3 linked regions of the Pelodiscus sinensis genome follow. The protein of the gene in region 1 purifies or fractionates together with the protein of each later gene. This does not show direct contact. Links are inferred from orthologs where the notes say so. Each region holds a gene or a part of one and is shown in the gene's direction. Other genes may lie near its edges.

Region 1 (7,288 bases):
TGTGGATGCTCTCTTGAGCAAGAAAGCTCTGGTGGCCATTTTAGCCATCGGGCTTTCTTGTGCAAGAAATCCCTGGTGAGTGTCCACACTGCCCTCTTGCGCAAGAGCTCCTGTGCAAAGAGGGCTTACACGTGTTAAAAAAGAGCATAGCTCTTGCACAAGGAGCCGTCTCTTCCATGCCATACTGTAAATTTCCTTTCGCAAGAGCAGGCGGGCAGTGTAGACACTCTGCGGATTCTTAGGCAATAACCCGCCAGTGTAGACATAGCCTATGGGTTTTGCTGCAATCACCCATCCTTAAAGGAGGTGTTAATCTTTGACCTTTGATAGTGATTGTCAGGCTTCTCATCGTTCTCTCTCACTCTTGGTGGGGTTTCTACCTGTCTTCAAGGTTGTCCATGCTGCCAATTTAATTCAGTCTCAAGACACAATGCAGGGTTCCTTATTGTCTTCAAAGTTTCCACTTCTTGATCATCTGCGCATCTGTGATGGCTTTCATTCACACGCCTTCTACTCACACCACACAAAGGTGCAGTTTCAGACAAGATCAATAATTACTGAAAGACACAACTTAGTTTGTGATGCAGACAAGGGTTACAACTTAATTTGTAATGCTAACAGGGAGCAAGGCCTTATAGTAACATTATCTACTCATGAGAGACAGAGAGAGAAATAGAAGCAGATAGAACTTATAAGCAAGTCATTATACATCAAATAATCAGGTTTTGACAAATCGGCTTTATCTACTCGCCCATGGGGAGTAGTTTTCAGCCGGTCACCCCGTTCACTGGCGGTTCACGCATGTGCAGTGCTGGTCTCGCACATGCGCAGTGCGGGGCTGGCGAGTGGTTTTTGCTGCAATCGTCGAGCCTGCAAATAATTATACATCATACCTAGTTTTATAATGAGGGCTCGACAAATAATACAGTCTACTTGCCCGTGGCGAATAGATTGTAACCCGGAAGAGCCGGATTCGGGCCGAAAAGTGCAGCTGGTGAGCAGGGCTTGCCACGGTTCGGTGGGCCCTGCTTATAACCGATACTAAAATATACATTTTTGCTACATCCTGAGGGAGGGCAGTGGCTGTGTTTTAGTATGATCCCCCAGGGGAACTTGGGCGGTGGCTGAGTTTTGATAGGGTCTCCTGTGGGGCAGGGCAGACTGTTTACAGGGGCCATGCAAGAGTCCTTTGCAGGCTCTGGATGCTCGCGATGTAAATGGTTATCTGGTTAACCGGTAAGCATCACCCTTAACCTGTGGGGGCTGGAGCAGCTTCCTTCCCACAGCTCCAGCCCCACGGGAGCTGCTTCAGCCCTGTGGGGCCCTCCACGGGTAGGGGCTGCTCCTGCCAGCTGGCCAGAGAACCCCCTGGCCTTTTTGCCTCACAGGTTGCACACTGGCTCCCTGGGAGTGCACCGGTGGCAGAGCCTTCTCCTGGGAAGCTGGACTGGCAGTCCAGGGAGGCTTCATTGCCTATTGCTTCATACTGCAGAGCCTGCAGCATATAATCACTGAGATTTTTAGCAGTTACACGGGTACATTTTAAAAACTTTTTACATTCTTACTGGAGGCTGGTGGTTACGAGGTGTCTAACCGATGGGGCGGTGAGGAAATGACACATCCCTGGCCCAGTGTTATTGTAGGGTTTCCTGAGTGCACTGGGGCCGGATGTGTCGTCTCCGTTGGCACCTGCGTCTCATGGGCAAGTTTGTTATGGTAGAGTGTCAGGGCGGTGGGGCTCTGTAGGGCACTGATCATCTGACTCCACCTTCCACAGCTCCTATGTGGCTAATCGAGTGACGGACAAACTGACGCCCATCCACGATCGGATCTTCTGTTGCCGCTCTGGCTCTGCTGCTGACACGCAGGCCATTGCTGATGCCGTGGCCTATCAGCTGGGCTTTCACAGGTACCTGCCCTGGGCCACATCAGAGCAGGCTCTCCATTCCCTGCCATCTGAGCCAGCCTGTCCCTGTGCAGGGGCTGGGCAGGAGCTGGCACCCCCTAGAAGTCAGTCCCTGGTTCCTCTCTGACTGTGGTTCCCTCCCCCTGCAGCATTGAGCTGGACGAGCCACCCCTGGTGCATACGGCCGCCAGCCTGTTCAAGGAGATGTGTTACCGCTACCGCGAGGACCTCACCGCTGGCATCATCGTTGCTGGCTGGGACAGGCGCAAGGGGGGACAGGTGAGCGGTGTCATCCTAGGGCTCAGCCCAGCAGGTGGAGTTAGGGACATAGCCCTTGGGGGCACGCAGAGTCAGGGTATCTCTAACGAGCACTGTGGGACAGGGAGTGGGGCAAGGGATCACTGGGGGCCTCAGAGGTGACTGCAACTTAGCACTGGATGAAGGGTCCCTGGGTAATCTGCCATCTCACCCCACAGGCAGCTGCATCTCAGCTCTGTGCAAGGGGTCTCTGTAGCCAGCTGCCCCGCCCCACAGGTGGCTGCATCTCAGCACTGGGCAAGGAGTCCCTATTAGGGATTTGAAAGTGACTGTGTATATGGTCACGTGTGGGGAGCTGTCTTAAAAGCCAGCACCTGGTGCACACCAGGTCATGAGGAGCTGTTCTCCTCCCCCCCCCTCCCCCCCACGCATAACCATGTAACCATTGAAACTTTCAGCAGTAACTCGTTTAATTAAATGCATTGTAACATCCCTAGTCCCTGTGTACCTGGCTTCTCAGCATCGGGTGAGGAGGTCCTGTGTAACCAGCCACCCTGTCCCAGCCATGATCTCTCCGTCTTTCTGCCCCAAGGTGTTCTCGGTGCCCATGGGTGGGATGATGGTTCGCCAGCCTTTCTCAGTGGGTGGCTCAGGTAGCTCCTACATCTATGGCTTCGTTGATGCCTCCTACAAGCCGGGCATGAACCAGGAGGAGTGTCTGCGCTTCACAGCCAATGGTGAGTAGACCCTCAGCTTCTCACAGCTAGGGATGTGAATGGGTAACTAGTTACCCAGTAAGCATTACATGTTGCCCAGGAGCAGCCCCTGCCTGCCTTAATGTTTAACTGATTAAATAATTAAACGGGATTTTACCCCTCTATCCTGGGCAGCTGGGACCCAGGCATCCAGGATGGCAGTGTGGGTTGTATGTCCATAGAAGGAGGTGTTACCCGCTCAGATTTCTCTATGCCTTCCACACTGTAGGGATACACACCTTTACCCAGTTCCTAGGGCTCAAAGTGCAACCCTGTTAATTTACACACTCACCCGTACCCAATTCCTAAGGCTCAGGGCACATCTTTCTGCGGGTTAGGCAGGATCTTTAGCCACTGAAAGAGCCTCACACAGTAATATCCGTATCCTCTATTTATTGACAATTCCCAAACAAGCAGAATACACATGCTAAGCACACAGTGTCATGCTCACCAATCCTGGTACAGGCAGACTTCCCCTGTTGGCCAGGGAAGGGGAAGATCTCTCTAGATCTTAGCTGCTGCAGTCACAGTCTGGTCTTAGGCTGTGTCTCGGAGGTGATTTTTTTCTTCTAGGTCTTCCCCCTTCTTCTTGGTGTTTCTTGTCTGCTTTTGGTCTTCCAGCCTTTTGCTTCTTTCCTTCTGCTTCTGTTACTTTCTATCTTCTTCTTGGTCTCCTTCTTGGACCTGAGTTTATATAATGAAACCTGAGTCCTGCTTAGCTATACCGTAACCAATTATTTTAGTATAATTTTACTAACCAATCATACCCCACCACCTTAATTGATTTACACCTAGCAAAATTAATTATACAGCAGACAGGAACAGTTAAACCAGACAGATCTCTCAGTCAAACAATAGGAAAGTGTAATGACAATGATCATAGAATGAGGATTCCACAACATTCTCTATTGATAAGTAACACCATTCTGTCTGGCAAGAAACTGTTTAAGTTTTCTTTACCCATCTTGAGATCTGTTTCTTTATCTGGTAACAGTGGAGGAGCTATCAGGACAAAATCCCCTCCTCACAGATTGGTGTGATGCTATTTGAATACAATTTAGATGGAATGTGAGGATGTGACTTGAGGCCTTACAGCTAATGGCTACTGCTCTTCAGTCTGGCTGCAGAAGGTGGATTTGGTTCAGGCCTTCCAACATGGCTACAGAAAAGCCATATTGTTACAGAGGGGTTGGCCCAAGGCATCTATGCTGTGCTTATCCCCCCCCCGTATGCTCTCCTCTTCTCCCCTTGCAGCCCTAGCACTGGCCATGGACCGGGATGGCTCGAGTGGGGGGGTGATCCGGCTGGCTGCCATCACAGAACAGGGCGTGGAACGGCAAGTCATCCTGGGAAACCAGCTGCCACGCTTCTCTGCTGCTTGACGGAGGACACCCTACACACCCTGTGCCACTGACTTATTAAACTATGGAACCCATGATGTGCCTCAATGATTCCACAGGATGCCTGGGTTCCCTGCCCAGCTTGGGGGAGGGGAGCCTGTAAGCCAGGACTCCTGGATTCTTTCCTTGTCTGTGGAGGGGAGCGGGGAGGCCTGGACTCGGATTAACCTGGTGCTGATATGCAGCCACTGCGGGGGTTAGAATGTGCCTATTCTCTGCCCTGCAGATCCAGGGGCTGGTCTTCTGCCGGGACTAAGTTGTGCAAAGGGGCCAGGCTGGGGTGGGGGCTGTTTACAACTGGCACCACTCAATCTTGCCCACCAGCCTCAGCCCCTACATGAGACCTGATGGAGCACATCTGGTGCCCTTCAATGCTGATACACAGCCCCTGCTACCCCAGTCATAGGCTCCCCCAGCTGTGCTGCTGACCCTCACTCCTGCCCTACAGCCCTTGCCAGCCTAGGAGTGACACTGGTGGGAGAAGTTTCTAGTTGTTGGGCTGTGGCATAGGGTGGGCATTTGGGGGCCACTCTGGCTCAGAGCCAGTGTCCCCCCAGCCCAGGTTCCTACACCAAAACCTCACCTGGCTCTGAATCTTCTTAATGGAAATGGATGTGGGGGGGGAATTAACACATCCTGCCTCCCACTGCTTACCGCAACCCCCTCCAACCCCATGTCCAACCATAAGGGGCCCTCTTGGGTGAGAGCTCTTTGCAGGGTTGAGAGTTTAGCCCAAAGGGCAGGGGAATCTGGGATGCTGGCTTAGGGCCTTTCTGTGAGTCCTAGTCTTTGTGCTGTCAGCAGGGCTGGTTGGTGCTGGGGGTCCCTGTTTCCATGCCAGCAGCTGGAATCCCTGACCATGAGGTTGCCCCAGTCATCAGCACATGAAGTCGATGGCCATGGGGCTGCCCCAGTCAGCATGTGGATTTTCTGGCCATGGGGAGCTGGAGCCAGGAGACTGGCTGGCACTGTGGGGCTGCCTCAGTCATTAGCACGTGGAGTTGATGGCCGCAGGAGGCTGGGGCCATGGGGCTGCCCTCATCAGCACATGGAGTCAATGGCTGTGATGGCACAGCTCAGCTGGTGGTAGGAGACTCATGCGTTCTGGCTGGGGCATCCAGCTTGCTACAGGTGGAGGGTGTGGAATGGGCTTGGGGGGCAGGTCCCCCCTCTATGGGATGACCAGGGGTTGCTGGAGGACAGGAAAGGGAAAAGGTTGGGTATCTTGGAGCAGGACAGTGGCTTGCTTGCAGGGGAAAGAGGGCATGGGAGTGGGATGCAGGGTGGGGGGGGGGGTCTGGGAAGGGGGCTTCTGGAGTAAGGGATGAATGGGTGGGGGGAGGATGAGAGATACTCACCTGTGGGCTGAGGGCCCCTTTGCTATGCCCAGCCCAGCAGAAGCACCGCAGGAGCCTCAACCCCATCTGCCCAGTGGCTTGTGGGGCAGAGCAGGGGCTCTGGCAGGGTCTGTGGTGGGGGTCTTTGCCCCCCAACTCATGGGGGTTGCAGCTGCAACCTCCTTCCCTCAGAACTCTCACAATCTGTGCAGGGGCCCTCAGACCCAGCCCCCCTCCCAGCATCACCCCAATGGCTCCCCTGTGCCCCATCCCTGGGCAGGGAACCTGGCACCTCCATTGCCCTGCCATTCCTTTCCTCTGTCCCCCAAAGCTACTTAATTCCTTACTTCCTACCCCAATCCGGGCCACTCAGTCCCTTGTCCACCCCCCTTACCTGCAGATCTCTGGATGCCTGGGTCCCGCCTAGCCTTCCCTGCTCTCAGCTATGGAGCTGGGTGCAGCTGGCTCTGGGGCGTGTCTGCCAGGCACTGCCTGCTGGCAGCTTCCCAGCCTCCCCAGAGGTACGGGGCTGGACTGGCAGGGGCTGCGGGTTGGGAGTGCGGGGCCCTGGCAGGGCTGGGGGAGCCAGGGGCTGCCGGGAGACGCACCCCAGAGCCGGGCCGGGCCTGACCTCCCAGCCCATGGCTCTGTCCTGATCCCCAGTAGAGTCTGGGGAGCGCTCAGGACAGCAGCAGTATTTGTTATTGTAGGGTCTCCCCGAGCAACGCCCCCACCATCCCACAGGGACCCAGCCTGTGGGGCGGAGTGTGCCCTGCTTGGGATAGGGCGGAGGCTGCTCTGTCCCGGGACTGGCTCCAGCCCCCTCCCCCACTTCCCTTCCCGGGCAGCGCCGCCGCCTCCCGCCCAGCCCGGCGCGCCGCAGGGAATCGGGGCCGGGCGGGGACGCCCCGGGTAAGTGTCCGGGATCCCCGTGCGGGGGAGTCTCTGGAAACTCCCTTCCCCGCCTTGCAGGGGTCTCCGGCCTCCTGAACCCCGCGGTGGGGGGACTGGACCTGCTCTCCGCCCATAACAAGGGCAGGCTCCAGTTGGTTCGTGGGAGGGGTCTCGGTTCTCCCCTGCCCCTTCCAGACAGGGACCCCCCTGCGTGCAGCCACGTTGGAGGCGGCGGGGGGAGCTCTGACGGTCCGCTGCCCCCCCCCCCCATCTCGCTGCCCCACGTGACTCGTAGCGGACTCCAAATCTCCGTGAACTTCTAGCACTTTTGTGACGGGGGCGGGAGCGAGGGGCGCCGGCAGGGCTGTGGGTGGGAGCGAGGGGCGCCGGCAGGGCTGTGTGTGGGAGCGAGGGGCTGTGGGGATGCGAGGCCCGGGGGCGGGAGCGAGGGGCGCCGGCGGGGCTGTGTGTGGGAGCGAGGGGCTGTGGGGATGCGAGGCCCGGGGGCGGGAGCGAGGGGCGCCGGCGGGGCTGTGGGTGGGAGCGAGGGGCTGTGGGGATGCGAGGCCCGGGGGCGGGAGCGAGGGGCGCCGGCGGGGCTGTGGGTGGGAGCGAGGGGCTGTGGGGATGCGAGGCCCGGGGGCTCTCTGCCAGCGCCACCCTTCCCAGGCTTAGAGGAAAGGAACGTTGTATAACTCCCCAGCCCCGCCTGCCCAAACCTGCAAGCTCAGGCGCCGC
Region 2 (7,858 bases), on another chromosome or scaffold:
AGGAGATGGGGGTTCACTTCCCAGCTGTGCCACAGGCTCCCTGGGTGGCCATGGGCAAGTCTCTTCACCTTGCAGTACTTCCGTTCCCCATCTCCCAAAGAGGGACCAATCTCTCCTGCCTCCATGAATAGTTTTGGGGCTCAGTTTCCACTGGGCTAGGAAATGATTCACTAGGTTTTTTCTATCTCATAAGCCCCCCTTTCCACACACACACTGGCTACGTCTACACTGGCATGATTTTCCGGGAAAAGTTTTCCGTTAAAAGCATTTTCGGAAAAGCACGTCTAGATTGGCAGGATGCTTTTCCGTAAAAGCACTTTTTGCGGAAAAGCGTCCGTGGCCAATCAAGACGCGGTTTTCCACAAAAAAGCCCCGATCGCCATTTTCGTGATCGGGGCTTTTTTGCGGACAACAATACTATGCTGACTACACTGGCCCTTTTGCACAAAAGTCTTTCGGAAAAAGACTTTTGCCCGAACAGGAGCAGCATAGCATTTCCGGAAAAGCACTGACGATCTTACAGAAGATCGTCAGTGCTTTTCCGGAAATTCAAATGGCTAGTGTAGACAGCTGGCAAGACAGATGATTTTGCGGAAAAACTTGCCAGTCTAGACACAGCCACTGTGATCCACGCTGGGGAGCACTGATGGCATATCCTGCATTCCCCCTATTCTACACCCCCCCCCCCCTTCTGTGCAAATGCATGCTCCTTGAGATTTCGGCTCAGGAACAAACCAACGAAGGTGCTGGAAGTAGGGGGGTTGCAATCGCTGCAAGGCAGGGGAGTGGGGCAGCACAGGGCTAGACTGGTCCAGGCCCTGATCCTCACTGCAGCCTGGGCATGCTAATGAGCCCAGCTGTCAGGCTGGACTCCCAGAGGCAGCTGGCTCTTGTGTGGAGCCTCTAAGCATCTATGTATCATGTATCTCCCTCTTTGCCCCCATCCAGATGGCACAGTAAATCTCTGAGGAGGGAGGCCTCTACCTACCTTCTCAGGACAGCTGTCTGTCTCTGCTTTCCTCTTCCGAAAACTGCAGGCTTAACTGACTCACATCCCGACCAATGAAGGGGCAATCAGGGAGACAGCAAGAGGGAGCAAAGGAGAGGAGAGAGAGCCTGCTAACCACAGGACAGCACCACCTAGAGCTGCAGAAAACAGGCTGTGCAATGCTTGCTTTTTCAGGAGAGGCCGACCAGGCTGGCTCAGTACCCTGCAAAAAACACACCAGAGCTGCAAAAACAACGAGGAGTCCTGTGGCACGTTAGAGACAAACAGATGTATTAGGGCATAAACTTTTGTGGGTTAAAAGCACTTCATCAGATGAGTTGAAGTGGAGTTTACAGAGGCGGGGATGTGTGTGTGTATATATATATATATATATATATATATACACACACATGGATAACAAAAAGAAAGGATAAACTTAAAAAACAACAAATAGTCTGGTAGCACTTTAAAGACTAACAAAACATGTAGATGTATCATGAGCTCTTGTGGGCTCAACCCACTTCTTCAGCAGTCATCTGAAGAAGTGGGCTGTGTCTATGAAAGTTCATGATACATCTATGTTTTGTTAGTCTTTAAAGTGCTACCAGACCATTTGTTGATTTTTAAGTTTATCCTGTATAGACTAACTCAGCTACCCCTCTGAAGCAAAAGAAAAAGGGTCAATCATCTAATGAAGTGGGTTCTACTGACGAAAGCATATGCCCTAATCAACTTGTTAGTCTCTAAGGTGCCACAGGAATCCTCATTTTTTAAGATACTGACTAACAGGGCCACCAGTCTGAGACTTTAAACCAAACCTGTTATCTAACTCCAGATTCACACCAATGGCTCATCCGTGGCCCCATGTTCTTTGTAACTTCACAGGGAGGAGACCCTGCAAATTGTTTTGTTCGCATTGAAGATGCAACTGCCCAGCCGAGCTGTAGGAAAGAGATGTTTCTTCTGTGCTTATCTGGTGGCTTCCTGACCCCCAGCTGGGAGGCCAGAAGCCCTCATGTTCCACTCAAGTGGGGCTCTCCTGAAACCTGTCCCCTTCCTCCAGTCCTCCCACGCCCTGGTGCAAATATGACACACACACACAAAAAGGAAATTTAAGGCAACTAATTGCCACTAGAATCACACCTATTTTAAAGCAAAGTGTGCTGGAACAATTTTTATAGTGGGGGTGTTGAGAGCCATTGAACCAAACTGTAAACCAGGGGTCTCAAACTCATTTTACCTTGGAGCCAGTGCCAGTCCTCAAATCCACCTAGTGGGTCAGCAGGCACCCCTCTCTAGCAGGGTTCGGGGGGGAGTCTCCACACATTCACACCCCCCACGTGTCTCCCGGTCCCAGCTGCTAGTCTATGCACTCTTCTCCCATGCATCCCCCGGCACTGTCTGCCATCTCTGGGCAACTTAACCCTCCCCCCCCCCACAGGGGTTCCGGTGCCGCTACCAGTAGCACGGCAAGGCTAGAGCAGCTCCTCGCTGCTAGCGCTGCATCCCTGTGGCCCAGGAGAGATGTGTGCAGAGCCATCCCATCCATAGAACGATTTGATGCGGCCACCCCGGGCCCTGTGCATTGGGGGGAGCGGGGCCCACAGCAGCCACCCCAATCGTCCTATGGACAGAATGGTCCCCCATACTTAGTGATAGAAATGTAGCTGTGTTAGTCTGGTGTAGCTGAAACAAAATACAGGACTATGCAGCACTTTAAAGACTAACAAGATGGTTTATTAGATGATGAGCTTTCGTGGGCCAGACCCACTTCCTCAGATCAAATAGTGGAAGAAAATCATCACAACCATATATACCAGTGTTCATTTTTTTTAATTGTATCCTTTGGTATATATGGTTGTGACGATTTTCTTCCACTATTTGATCTGAGGAAGTGGGTCTGGCCCACGAAAGCTCATCATCTAATAAACCATCTTGTTAGTCTTTAAAGTGCTACATAGTCCTGTATTTTGTTCCCCATACTTAGGTTAGCCTGTGGGGCCTGGGGCAAGCTGGGGCTAGCAGAAGGGTTCAGGCTCCCCCTTTCCCCTCCCCCCACTCGCCACAGCAGGGAGAGCTGCAAGGAAGTGGAGCTACATAGCATGTCTGAAAATATGGAGGGAAAGTTCCCCCCACTCCCACCAGCCTGATCTTCTTTTCTTTGAGATTCCAGATGGTTATGAAGCTAGCTAAGCTTTCCGGCTGCAAATATCCTGAAATCCAGAGTGACGGTTTAACCCCCACCGAGCGTTAAGAATATTTGAGATGACCTTAGCTCAGATCTGGCCATTGGTGTGAGAGAAAGCAAGAAATGGCTTTTAAAAGGCAACATTATGATGATTAATGTTTTTTAATTATACATCAAGCACCTGGAGAAGCTTCAGGCAACCGCTAAAGCAAGTGAAGACACATCTCCTGGCCTAGAGAGTGCACAACCTACATGCAATCCAACACAATCCTGCAAGGAGACCCGCATGGGCTGATCCCTTCTCCTGCATGGATCCCCACTGGAGTTAATGAGACTCTGTGGGGCAGCAGGAGTCCACCTGCACAGGTCTCTTTTGCCGAAGGTCCTAAGTAGGAAATACCACAGACTCAACCTATTTACCATTGTAGGCTGCATGTGCAACTCTCTCCGTGTTATGTGGGTTGCAACTGCATAATAGATATATTACTTGTACAGCCCAGGGGGATGTCACGTGGGCCGTAGTTATGTGCTGATTGGGTTGTGGGTTGAGAACCACTGGCCTAAGGCATAGGCACAGCTAAATGTTTAGGAAGCCAATTATTTTTACATGACTATTATCTGTTGATGTGGTTACGGTGACCGTTGGGTGCCATGTGACAGGGGTTTAGCAGAAAGATGCCTTAGCATGGCAGTTCACTATTTACAACCACATTCTCATAGCCATTTATTATCACCTGTGTGACAATCATACCTAGGCGGGCTCTTTGGGGGATCAGGATGCATTGTGCCGGGTGCTGAACAAACCCCAAGAGCTCATCATGCTGCATTGCCGGGGGGCCCTCATGGCCACTGTCACTTCGCACCCATCGTCGCTCCATGTTGTGCCAATCTCAGGTGCCCTCTATAAGTCACCATCATGGCTCCCTTGCTGCCTCCCAAGCAGGGTCCCCCCCCCCAGCACCTCCCCTCAGGCTGGCCAAGTTTGGGCTCATCCGAGCTGGGCAAGGTGCCTCCCATCACCCCAGGCTGGTCAGTGCTCCCCCCATCCCCCAAGCTGGCCGGGGGGGGCCCATTCCCATCCCCCAAGCTGGTCCAGGGGGCCCCCATTCCCATCCCCCAAGCTGGTCCCCATTCCCATCCCCCAAGCTGGTCCAGGGGGCCCCCATTCCCATCCCCCAAGCTGGTCCAGGGGGCCCCCATTCCCATCCCCCAAGCTGGTCCCCATTCCCATCCCCCAAGCTGGCCAGGGGGCCCCCATTCCCATCCCCCAAGCTGGTCCAGGGGGCCCCCATTCCCATCCCCCAAGCTGGTCCAGGGGGCCCTCATTCCCATCCCCCAAGCGGGCCAGGTCTCCCCGCCCCACGTATTTCTACCCCCTCCCCCGGGCTCCCCCTCACCCTCGGGCTGGCCAGGGTCCGGGTCCCCCATCCCCCAAGCTGGCCAGGCCAACCCCCCGTTCCAGCCTCCCAAGTTGGCCAAGGCTCCCCCCTGGGAGATTGGCCCTTCTGGCCCCTCAAGCGCCCTCTCGGTGGCCCCTCCCGCGGCGGGCCCCTCTTGACGGACCGCGCCGGCCTCTCTTTGCTCCCGGAAGTCGGTGTCGCTTCCGCTTCCCCCCCTCCCCCCGCCGCCGCCTCTCTTTCCCCCTCCCCAGGCTGCCGGCCCGGCTGTAAGATGGCGGCGGCGGCCGAGTGCGATGTGATCATGGCGGCGGCCGAGGGAGCCGGGCTGCTGGGCGGCGAGGAGGAGACTCGCAGGTAGCGGGGCGCCGGGGGGGGGGCTCAGGAGAGAGCCGGGGGAGGGACTGAAGGGGGGGTCGGGGCCCCTTGGGGTGGGGGAGGGGAGTGGGGCCCGGTGGGGGGGGGTTCTCAGCCCCAGCCCCCCCCCCCTCGCGGCCCTGTGACCCTCCCAGCTCCGGGGTGTCTCAGGGCCCCGGCCCCCTCCCGCACTATGGGGGGGGGGAGGGGGGAGCGCAGCACCAGCCCGCCCCCGCCCCGCTGGCCCCCGAGGTTATCAACCCTCCCTCCGCCTCTTCCTTCTGTTGAAATCCGCCCCCTCGGGCGGGGTGATGGGGGGGTGCCCCTGTGACACCCCCCCCCCACAAGGATGCTCTGTGCAGATGCCGCTCACCCCGGTGATCGTTCAGGAACCCCCCTTTCAAGCTGAGTGGGTGGGGGGTCGGGGGTGAACCTACCAGCTAAAGATGCATTTCTCCCCCCCACCCCGCCATAGCCCGAATGGTTTTTATACCTTGCCATGTCTATAACCCCCTGGGCCTACTGGGGGTTTTATAACGGGTAACTCCCAAGGAATGCCGTCTGGGCATTTCTAGTGCACCCAGCCCTGGCGGCAGTGTCCAGGCTGTAAATCCCTGCACCATAGAGATTACGGTATAATGAACAAGGATGGATGGTTGATCAGTAACCGGGGAGAAGGTTATGGTGGGCTGTTTCACTGGACCAATCTGAAGGCAGATGGCAGCAGATACATGCTTAATACTTACTGTCCTGACTCTGCAGAATTGATTTCAGCCCTGAAGAACAGGGGGGGTTCACAGTGGAGTCAGGGAAGTTCAACAATTCAGTTCCCTTCTGCCCTTTAATAAGTATGCTTGGGCTTGTTTAGTTTGGAAAAAAGAAGATTAAGGGGGGACATGATAGCGGTTTTCAAATATCTAAAAGGGTGTCACAAGGAGGAAGGAGAAAATTTGTTCCTCTTGGTTTCTGAGGACAGGACAAGGAGTAATGGGCTTAAAGTGCAGCAGGGGAGGTTTAGATTGGACATTAGGAAAAAATTCCTAACTGTCAGGGTGGTCAAATATTGGAATAAATTGCCAAGGGAGGTGGTGGAATCTCCCTCTCTGGAGATATTTAAGAACAGGTTAGATAGACATCTGTCAGGGATGGTGTAGATGGAGCTTGGTCCTGCCTTGAGGGCGTGGGGCTGGACTCGATGACCTCTCGAGGTCCCTTCCAGTCCTATTATTCTATGATTCTATGCCAGATTTGGGGAGCATGGCCAACAGCCCCCAGCATGTGATGCTTTGTTTCAGGGTGGTTTGGCTTGTATGTCAGATGCTAAGCTCTGGCCTTTGCCAGACATGCCTCTGTGTTAAAGGCAGGGGTGATTCCAGTTGTGGTCTATTATACAGAAAAGGTGCAGTGGTCTTTTGGCCAAATCTTGTGCCATATAGAAACCCCAGCCTACTGTATAGTGCCCGTGATGGGTGCTATACAAAACACTGATAGGCAGTAATTCTGGGTTTCCGAGAGTTTTGTGTCCTTCTCTCAGGACAGGACTGCTCTGGGGATAGCATGCTCCCGTCTTTATCATTTCTGCCCAGAGGCAGTATCGATTAGCACTGCCATTTTCAAACTGGGGGTCAGGACCCCAAAGTGCTGACTTAGACTGGTTGAGGCCAAAGCAGAAGCTTAAGACCCATTGCCCTGGGGCCAAAGTCCGAGGGTTTCAGCTTTAGGTAGTGGGACTCAGTTTACAGGCCCTCTGCATGGGACTAAAGGCCTTGGGGTTCAGTTTTGGCCTTCCCCATGGGGCAGTGGAGCTTTGTCTCCCTCCTCCCCCAGACCATGGGGCTCAAGCTTCAGTCCCCCTCCTGGGGTTGCATAGTAACTTTTGTTGTCAGAAGGGGGTCACGGTTGTGAAGTTGGAGAATCCCAAGACTAGGGTTAAACTCTGTATGTGGTGTGGAGGGGGAATCCTCATGGCTCAAACCCCTTGAAGGTGGTTCAGATCCTTTTCCCTTCTCTAACTCCATTGCCTGAGGACTTCACAGTTACAATTGCACCTACCTGTACAGAACAGTTACTGTTGGAGATGTCTGATAGCGTGGAGCAAGTTACACTCAGAGTCCTGCTCTCAGATACCTGTCCTGTGTCAAAATGTTCTCTGGGTATGGTGGTTCTCCAAAGTACACTATGTTTTGAAGGCAGGGTTAGTAATTGTTGAAAGACCAAATCAGCTTCGTGCCTAAAGCTAGTTGGGAAATATTGCCCTGTGGTGCAGATACCGTCTGAGGTGTGGTGTGGTGAGAATCCCAGCCCTTTCCTCTGGTAATGAATTCTCTTTACAAGAGCAAGTGCTTTTATCTCCACCTGCTGCTGTGCTGTTGCAGTCACAGCAGGGGATGAAATTTAAAGATCAGCCTTTAAGAAACACCGTGCTAAGTTCAAGTGTTTAAAACAGGCAGGTGAATCTCAGCAGCCGGATGTCTCCGGGGGGGAATACCACCCCATATAGGATGTGGCAGAGCCTGTCATTCTAGAGAGGGGTTCACCTCACTGATGCAGGAAGGCAAAATGAAACTGAAAGGTACCTTGGAGTAGTTCCAGTTTCAAAAGGGCGGCCTGTGATATGTGTACTGCTGCTGCTTAGCTCTCAAAGGGTGAGGCCAAGGCAGTGGCATCGGAAGTATTTGTAACACCTTGAGGGTGTTAATTACATATATAAATCACGTTGTAGAAAAGGCACTTCAATGCTACATAAAGGATCCAAGTGTCACAGAGTTACAGAAATTCTTAGTACTGGGAAAGCCCTACAAAGTTTCATGTAATCCACAGCCTTCCTGTGGCTAATGTAAGGTTGTTCCTTAAAGTATTCTCTCCAGGGCTTTGTTCGCTTTAAAATGACTACTTTAAATATTAAAAGTATCAACATTTAAAAACCAT
Region 3 (8,067 bases), on another chromosome or scaffold:
TGCAAAAGTGATTCTTATAGATCATCGTGTTCATAGCACTTGAGCCTTCACATCATACACTCTACATTCACAAAGTTCTTCCCAGTCAATGGGCTCAGACAGAAATCCAGGCAAGATCATCTGGGTACTAACCAAGGTCAGATTAAGGCATAAGTAGCTTCTGGAGTCACATGATGAAATGGGAATCTCATCTTTAATTTAAAAAAGTGCATCTACCTATAGTCTGCAGGCAGCCCAAAATAACAGCTGAAAGAGATTTGAATTGTATCATTCACTTTAACTAAATCTTGCTATACACAATATATTTGAAAGCTTCAGAGGGGTAGCTGAATTAGTCTGTAACTGGAAAAACTTAAAAAATTGGTAGTAATAAACAACCTAGAGAAAACAACATATTTGGTAGTAATAAAGACTATATTATTTCTTTTAAAGATAATACTAATTCCTCAGCTACTTGATGTAGCAGCTGCTGAAGTTTTAAATGCAATTCCCTTCCAGTACATTATTACTTTTGTTTACTATCAATTTGTCGGGGTGGTTGAGAAGGAGAAGATGGAAGGAACATGATGACAGAAGGGATGGATAGAAACAGAACCAAAAAAAGGGGTAAATATAAGGGGTATATTTTCATGGCTTATATTTTACCTAGATACTGGATGGATAGATGCTGGCAATAATGCCAGAGAAGGAAATCCTTCTTTTCTATTTCTCAGTATTTGACCTTTGCTTATATTATCTCGGTTTGGTAAAACCTAACTCATCCTGGCTGTTGATTCTTTACTCTATTTCAAAGCAGGCTCAGAACACTTTCATCTTTCAACATTATTTTCTTACTTTATGTATTTTCTGGTGGGTTATGTGGTAGTTTAACATTTTTGGTTATACATAGCATAATGCGGCACTGGATTGAGGCAACAAGGGTCTCTCAGGAAAGAAAATGCATAGTCTGCAGAATGGTGGGCTGACATACAGGTGGAGAAGGGAAATACCTTTAGGCAGAAGCATGTCTCTTTCAAATGTGCATTAACAGGCCTCTCTTTACTTTTTGTCCCCCTCACCAAAGCTACCATCAGCCTCACTTTCAAGTATCTGTCACTGTGTGATCTTTCCAGGCAGTACAGGCAGTATCAGTGGGAACATTTTCACCTCAGGTTTCACACTGGTTGAACTCCAAGTTTTAACCAACTCTCTTCCCCCAAATCTTGAGCAAGAGAAGGGCTAATGGCAGGGGTGACTGGTGCCTGCAACAGGAAGGGGTACAGGAAGGGCTGGGCAGAGGTGCATCCCATTTAGCAATTAAAATGTCGGCATAGGAGGGCAGTGCATCTTCTGAGTGCTACCATGACTCACCTATAGCAGGTAGATCATTCTTCACAAGGCTCAGAAGTACTTGGACAGCAACAGAGTGGGGAAGATTTATTCTTTCTGCATAAATGCATGAAGACAATTGCCTCCCTATCCTGAAACTATGTATACTGCATTCTAGAGCACTTTAATGAGGCACATGTAGGCAAAGAGCTCAGACAGGTAGCTGTGTTAGTCTGTAACTTTAAAAACAATGAGTAGTCCTAAGGCACCTTAGAGATTTCCTCTCATCTCATCTGAGGAAGTGGATTTTGCCCACAAAAGCTTATGATACTATATTTGTTAATAGTTAAAGGGGTTCACCTGGGCAGAAGGGTGAGAGGCTGCTCTTTATGCAAGATTTAAAGAGAGAAGTCTCTTATTATTAAATACAACCAGGATCTCCTCCTAAACCTTTATATATATATATATATATATATATATATATATATATATATATATATATATATATATATATATAAAGATCTGGCTGGCTTGGGCCAAGAACCACACAGGAGATTACTCTGTGCCCCTATGGGCCAGTGCAGCCTCACATAATGCCTAATGTTTCCACAAGGTGCCAAAACAAATGTGTTATTGTAATTACCAAAATATTAGCAAGATGTTTCTAAAGCAGTAAGTACATCTTAGAGCCAAAAAAATTAAATCCACTGGTCCAAATAATAATAATCCAATATAATTATTTATAATATGTATGTAGTGATGCATACGCTTCTTGTATTTTGGAGAAATTTGGACCACAATGCAGGAGAGACTGACCTATCTTTGTAAAATGCATGTGTATCAACATCCTATCCAAACCCTCTTTACTCTGGAAAAGCTCAGATCTGGTTTCAAATATCATGATTAAACCCCATTCTAAATTGTGTTTCATGTGCCAGAATAAGCTAGTTAACTCAGAAAAGTCCCGAGAATAGCAGGCATTGTTTACCACTTATTCACACATAACACAGTAACTACTGTATAGCGTTCAACTTACTAAAAGCCTAACAAGTGACCCCTTCCTTTAAAATGCATGATCAAGACACAAACTGCACGAACACAACCTAACTATAATGAAGATTTTTTTTAAAAAAAGCAGAAGTGATATTAGTTTCGTTTTTTAACATTACAGAGAGTTTCCTAGAACCTCTGCTCCATGACTCAGCAATTTTCAGGCTGGTTATTTATTGTGAGAGGACACCCAGCCTATGTGGGGCAGAGGTAAATCAAAACAAATCTCAGGGGAAACTCAAATAAAGCTTCTGAAGCTGTGGAAGGAAGCAAACGGGGCTGGGTGAATATGGGTAATGTTGTATAGAAAGGGAAAAGCTTGAGAAATGCATTTTCAACTAAAACAGTCCCTAGGGGAAAAAAATGGCAAATGAATTTTAATGTTGTTAAATGCAAAGTAATGCACATTGGAAAAAAATAATCCCAACTATACATACAAAATGATGGGGACTAATTTAGCTATTACCACTCAAACAAAAAACAGGACTATGTAGCACTTTAAAGACTAACAAGATGGTTTATTAGGTGATGAGCTTTCGTGGGCCAGACCCACTTCCTCAGATCAAATAGTGGAAGAAAATTGTCACAACCATATATATCAAAGGACACAATTAAAAAATGAACACATATGAAAAGGAAATATGTTCAGATGTGTTCATTTTTTTAATTGTATCCTTTGGTATATATGGTTGTGACAATTTTCTTCCACTATTTGATCTGAGGAAGTGGGTCTGGCCCAAGAAAGCTCATCACCTCATCTTGTTAGTCTTTAAAGTGCTACATAGTCCTGTTTTTTGTTTCAGCTAAATCAGACTAACACGGCTACATTTCTATCACTATTACCACTCAAGAGAGAGATCTTAGAGTCACTGTGGATAGTTCTCTGAAAACAGGCCTGTACACAGGAATTTGTGTGGGGGTGATTTTTTTGTAAATGTGGACTGCAAGAGTTTAAATACACCCCCCTCCCATGGTTTCCCAAGTAAGCAGGGAAATCAGCCCCAGCCTTCCCCCAGCCAGCCAGAGCATGGGGGAAGGAGGCTCAGGTAGCATGCCACTCCCTTTCCATGAATAGCTGGATCATGCTTACTTGGGGGAGCATAGGAGAGTGCTTTTGCACCTTTTGCACACACCCTGCGTACAGGCCTGGAAAACATCCACTCGATGTGCAGCAGCCGGCAAAAAAGCAAAGAGAATGTTAGGAATAACTTTAAAAGGGACAGAAAATATCTTATTGCCTTAAAAATCCATGGTGTGCCCACATCTTGAATACTGTATACAAATGTGATCGTCTCATCTCAAAAAAAGCAAGCTATATTGGCATTGGAACAGGTTCAGAAAAGGGCAAAAAAATTTTAGGGGCTTGGAATGGATGCCATATACAGAGAGATTAAAAAGACTGGGGCTTTTCAGTAGAGAAAAAAGGAGACTATGGGTTTACAAAATCATGACAGATATGGACAAAGTGAATAAGGAAAAGTTATTTACTGGTTCCCATAAGAACTAAAGGTCACCAAATGAAATTAATAGGCAGCAGGTTTAAAACAAAAAAAAAAAAGGAAGTTTCTCTTCACAGAGTGTACAGTCAACCTGTGGAACTCCTTGCCTGAGGATGTTGTGAAGACCAGGACTTTAAGAGGGTTAAAAAAAAGAGCTAGATAAATTCATGGAAGTTAGGTTCACTAATGGCTATTAGCCAGGGTGGGCCGGAGTGGTGCCCCCCTAACCTGTGTTTGTCAGAGGCTGGAAAGGGATGGCAGGAGAGGGATCGCTTGACCATTACCTGTTCTGTTCATGTGCCGAAAGTGTCCGTCTGCTATGTACATTGGACAAACATCTCAGACACTTCGCCAAAGGATTAATGCCCACAAAACAGATATCAGACAAGATCACAAAGAGAAAACAGTTTCTTGCCACTTTAACCAGAAAGGACACTCTCTAAATGACTTAGCCACCCGCATTCTGCTACAAAGACCTTTTACATCTGCACTTGAAAGGGAATCCTCTGAACTGTCATTCATGTTAAAATTCGACACTTGCCAACAAGGACTTAACAAGTCTTTGAACTTTCTCACCCATTACCAAGACAGTTTCCCCAATTATCACCTGTAATACCATTAACTCACAAACATCCCACTCTCCCTACCTTTAATATCAGCAATTCACAGACACTTACCTTCCTTCCTCCCCCTTCCCACCCCCACCCCCCTGCATCCCCCTTCTGTTCTGCAATGTGATTTGTCCTTTTCATATTTGTTCATTTTTTTTATTGTATCCTTTGGTATATATGGTTGTGACTATTTTCTTCCACTATTTGATCTGAGGAAGTGGGTCTGGCCCACGAAAGCTCATCATCTAATAAACCATCTTGTTAGTCTTTAAAGTGCTACATAGTCCTGTATTTTGCTGTTCTGTTCACTCCCTCTGGGGCACCTGGCATTGGCCACTGCTGACAGGCAGGCTACTGGGCTAGGTGGACCTTTGGCCCGACCTGTTCTGTGCAAAGCAAGGGAGGGAAGTGCAGCAGCGAGGCAGAGCACCGCCCTCCCCCAACTTTGCTCCGCGAGCCGGGCCCAGGGCCAACGCGGGGAGGGGGCGTGGCCTCGGGCGGCCGGCGCCCCTCCCCGCTCGGGGGGCGTGCGCCCGAAGGACACGCAGGGGCGGGGCTCTGCCGCAGAAGGCGAATGGTGGCGTCGGGCGGCGCGGTGACGTCGCGCGTGCGTGGGTGACGCCGCGGCGGCCTCTCTCATTCTGGTCCCGGTCTCGTCCTCGCTGCCGGCCCCGCTGCCCCCTCGGCCTGTCCCGCGCGCGCCGCCAGCCCGCCCCGTCCCTGCGCCATGGCGAACGTGGCCGACACCAAGCTCTACGACATCCTGGGGGTGCCGCCCGGGGCCTCCGACAACGAGCTGAAGAAGGTACCGGCCGGGGAGGCGCCGCGCCGGGCAGGCCCCGCTTGGGCAGCCGGGAGGTCACGATGAGGCGGGGAGGCCCCGGGCCGGGCTGGCGGGGGTCAGGCCGAGCGGAAGGCCCCAAGCGGCTTCCAGGCGAGGCCGCGCCGCGAAGCCGCTTGGGGCCTGCCTGGCCGGCGCCGGGGAAGGCGAGTAGGCCGCGGGGAGGCGCTGGAGGGAGCGGGGCCGCGGGTGGGGGAGGGGATCCTGGCCGGGCGCTGGGGGGGGGGGGTCTCCGCCTAACGTGAGGGGGTCGACCGGGTTCCCTGCCCGGAGCCGCCTGCGCGTGTCTCCTCACTGCGTGCCCCGTGCGCTGAGGGAGCGTCGCCTGCTCTCCGTGGTGCCCTGGGGGCCGATCCCATCGCGATTGGAGGCTTCAGCCCTGAAACCTGCTGAAAGTGGCGTTCCAGCCACTGCCATTGTCTGACTGCAGCAGCATGGGCCCCCTTTGGGTCTCCCCGGCCCGTCCCTGTGGAGCTGGTCTTTCCCAAGCTGAAAGCACCTAGGGAAAATAAACAAGGAAGCTGAGCATTAGAGCCCAGTGTTTTGGGATCCTCATTACCCTATACCCATCACTGACCTCTAAACGTGTATTGGTTGTATTAATCTTCTAGTATGCCAGCCACTCCTTACCCACTTCCCAACTGCATCACCTAGCACTTAAAAGTACATCATAGCCTTGGTTAGGTATTTACTGGTCACCGCCTGTGATCCCTTGGAATAATGGTGGTGCTGCTGCAGTGAACTAGGTATCTGCACGTGATAGCCAAATTTGTTTGGGGTGGGCATTAATTGTTATGAAACTATATGTCCAATACGTGTTGATAAAAGGAAGCTATGAAATGATGGCAGCCAAGTATGATCATACTGTCTACAGAAAGAAACCTTGTTTGGGGCATCTTGTTTGTTGTATGAATGGTGGTCTTGGAAACGCAATTGTTTAATACCTATAAAACAAAACAAGTACATAGTCCAAAGTATACTTAAATAGTTAATGGTAAAGTTGCCAGCTATCTCTCAGTGCCAAGCACGTAATCTCTCGTTAATTAATTTGGACCTAACTGGGTGTCTAAATACTGAGAACGTGTAATTCTAATGTCAGTACCAAGCAAATTAGTTGAAACTATAATACAGAATAAAATTATCAGACACGTAGCTGAACATAATTTGTTGGGGAAAAGTCAACATGGTTTCTGTAAAGAAAAATCATGCCTTACTAATCTGCTAGAGTTCTTTGAGGGAGTCAACGAGCATGTGAACAAGGGGGATCCAGTGGATATAGTGTACTTAGATTTCCAGAAAGCCTTTGACAAGATCCCTCACTAAATGCTCTTAAGCAAAGTAAGTTGTCAAGGGATATGAGGGAAGGTCCTTTCATGGATTGATAACTGGTTAAAAGACAGGAAACAAAAGATAGGAATAAATGGTAAGTTTTCAGTGTGGAGAGAGAGAACTAGTGGTGTCCCCAAGGGTCTGTCCTGGGACCAATCCTATTCAATGTATTTATAAATGATCTAGAGAAAGGGTTCAGAGGGGTAGTCAAGTTAGTCTGTAAGTAGAAAAACTTAAAAAAAATAGTCTAGTAGCACCTTAAAGACTAACAAAACATGTTGATGGTATCATGAGCTTTCATGGGCATCATCCACTTGTTAGTAAGTTATGTTTTGTTAGTCTAATAGCATCTTAAAGGCTATTCATTGCTTTTTAAGGTGTTTTTTTGTTTTGTTTGTTTTTGTGGGGGGGGGTTTTAAGAGAAAGGGGTAAACAGTGAGGTGGCAAAATTTGTAGATAATACCAAACTGCTCAAGATATTTAAGACCAAAGCAGACTGTGAAAAGATTCAAAAAGACGTCACCAGACTAAGTGATAGGACAACAAAATGGGAAATTAATTTTAATGTTGATAAATGCGAAGTAATGCACATTAGAAAAAATTATCCTGTCTATGCATAAAAATTTGATGGGGGTTAATTTGGCTACAACTACTCAAGAGAGATATCTTGGAGTCATTGTGGATAATTCTCTGAAAACATCTACTCAATGTATAGCAGCAGTCAAAAAAAAGCAAACAATGTTAGGAGTCATTTAGAAAGGGATAGAGAATAAGACAAAGGATATCATATTGCCTCTATATAAACCCAGGGTATGCCTACCACTTGAATACTGCATACAGATGTGATTGCCTCATCTCAAAAAAGATATATTGGCATTGGAAAAGGTTCAGAAATGGCTAACAAAAATGATTAGGGGTTTGGAACAGGTCCCATATGAAGAGAGGTTAAAAAGACTTGGGCTTTTCAGCTTAGAAAAGAGAAGACTAAGGGTGGGAGAGTATGATCGAGGTCTATAAAATCATGACTGGTATGGAAAAAGTGAATAAGGAAAAGTTATTTACTTATTCCCACAATATAAGAAGTAGGGGGTCACCACATGAAATTAATAGGGAACAGGTTTAAACAAACAAAAGGAAGGTTTTTTTTTCCCACTCAGGGCATAGTCAACCTCTGGAACTCCTTGCCAGAGGATGTAGTGATGGCTAGGACTTTAACAGGGTTCAAAAAAGAACTAGGTAAGTTCATGGAGGTTAAATCCATCAATGGCTATTAGCCAGGATGGGTAGGAAAGGTGTCCCTAGCCTATTGTTTGTCTGGAAATGGATGACGGAGAGGGATCATGTAAGGTTTAGCTGTTGTGGTCCCTCCCTCTGGGGCATCTGGTATTGACCACTATAAGCAGTCAGGCTACCGGGCTAGATGGACCAT

What was found.
Region 2: the proteins of PLD2 (region 1) and DNAJC7 purify together in Homo sapiens (affinity purification with mass spectrometry; 3 studies listed by BioGRID and IntAct, counting the BioPlex papers as one, with this or other methods). This does not show direct contact. The link is inferred for Pelodiscus sinensis from reciprocal best matches to the Homo sapiens genes PLD2 and DNAJC7.
Region 3: the proteins of PLD2 (region 1) and DNAJA2 purify together in Homo sapiens (affinity purification with mass spectrometry; 3 studies listed by BioGRID and IntAct, with this or other methods). This does not show direct contact. The link is inferred for Pelodiscus sinensis from reciprocal best matches to the Homo sapiens genes PLD2 and DNAJA2.

What each region holds. Positions count from the first base shown.
Region 1 is NC_134734.1:8,309,119-8,316,406, forward strand, and holds the start of PLD2 (phospholipase D2), read left to right. Parts: upstream 1-4,301; 5' UTR 4,302-4,379; coding exon 4,380-4,418; intron 4,419-6,050; exon of another isoform or gene 6,051-6,188; intron 6,189-6,440; exon of another isoform or gene 6,441-6,568; intron 6,569-7,288. Other genes in the region: PSMB6 (proteasome subunit beta type-6), read left to right, coding at 1,778-1,909, 2,056-2,185, 2,757-2,901, 4,174-4,301.
Region 2 is NC_134739.1:9,682,694-9,690,551, forward strand, and holds the start of DNAJC7 (dnaJ homolog subfamily C member 7), read left to right. Parts: upstream 1-4,776; 5' UTR 4,777-4,847; coding exon 4,848-4,930; intron 4,931-7,858. UniProt on the Homo sapiens protein: Acts as a co-chaperone regulating the molecular chaperones HSP70 and HSP90 in folding of steroid receptors, such as the glucocorticoid receptor and the progesterone receptor.
Region 3 is NC_134722.1:27,730,882-27,738,948, reverse strand, and holds the start of DNAJA2 (dnaJ homolog subfamily A member 2), read left to right. Parts: upstream 1-5,062; 5' UTR 5,063-5,195; coding exon 5,196-5,273; intron 5,274-8,067. UniProt on the Homo sapiens protein: Co-chaperone of Hsc70. Stimulates ATP hydrolysis and the folding of unfolded proteins mediated by HSPA1A/B (in vitro).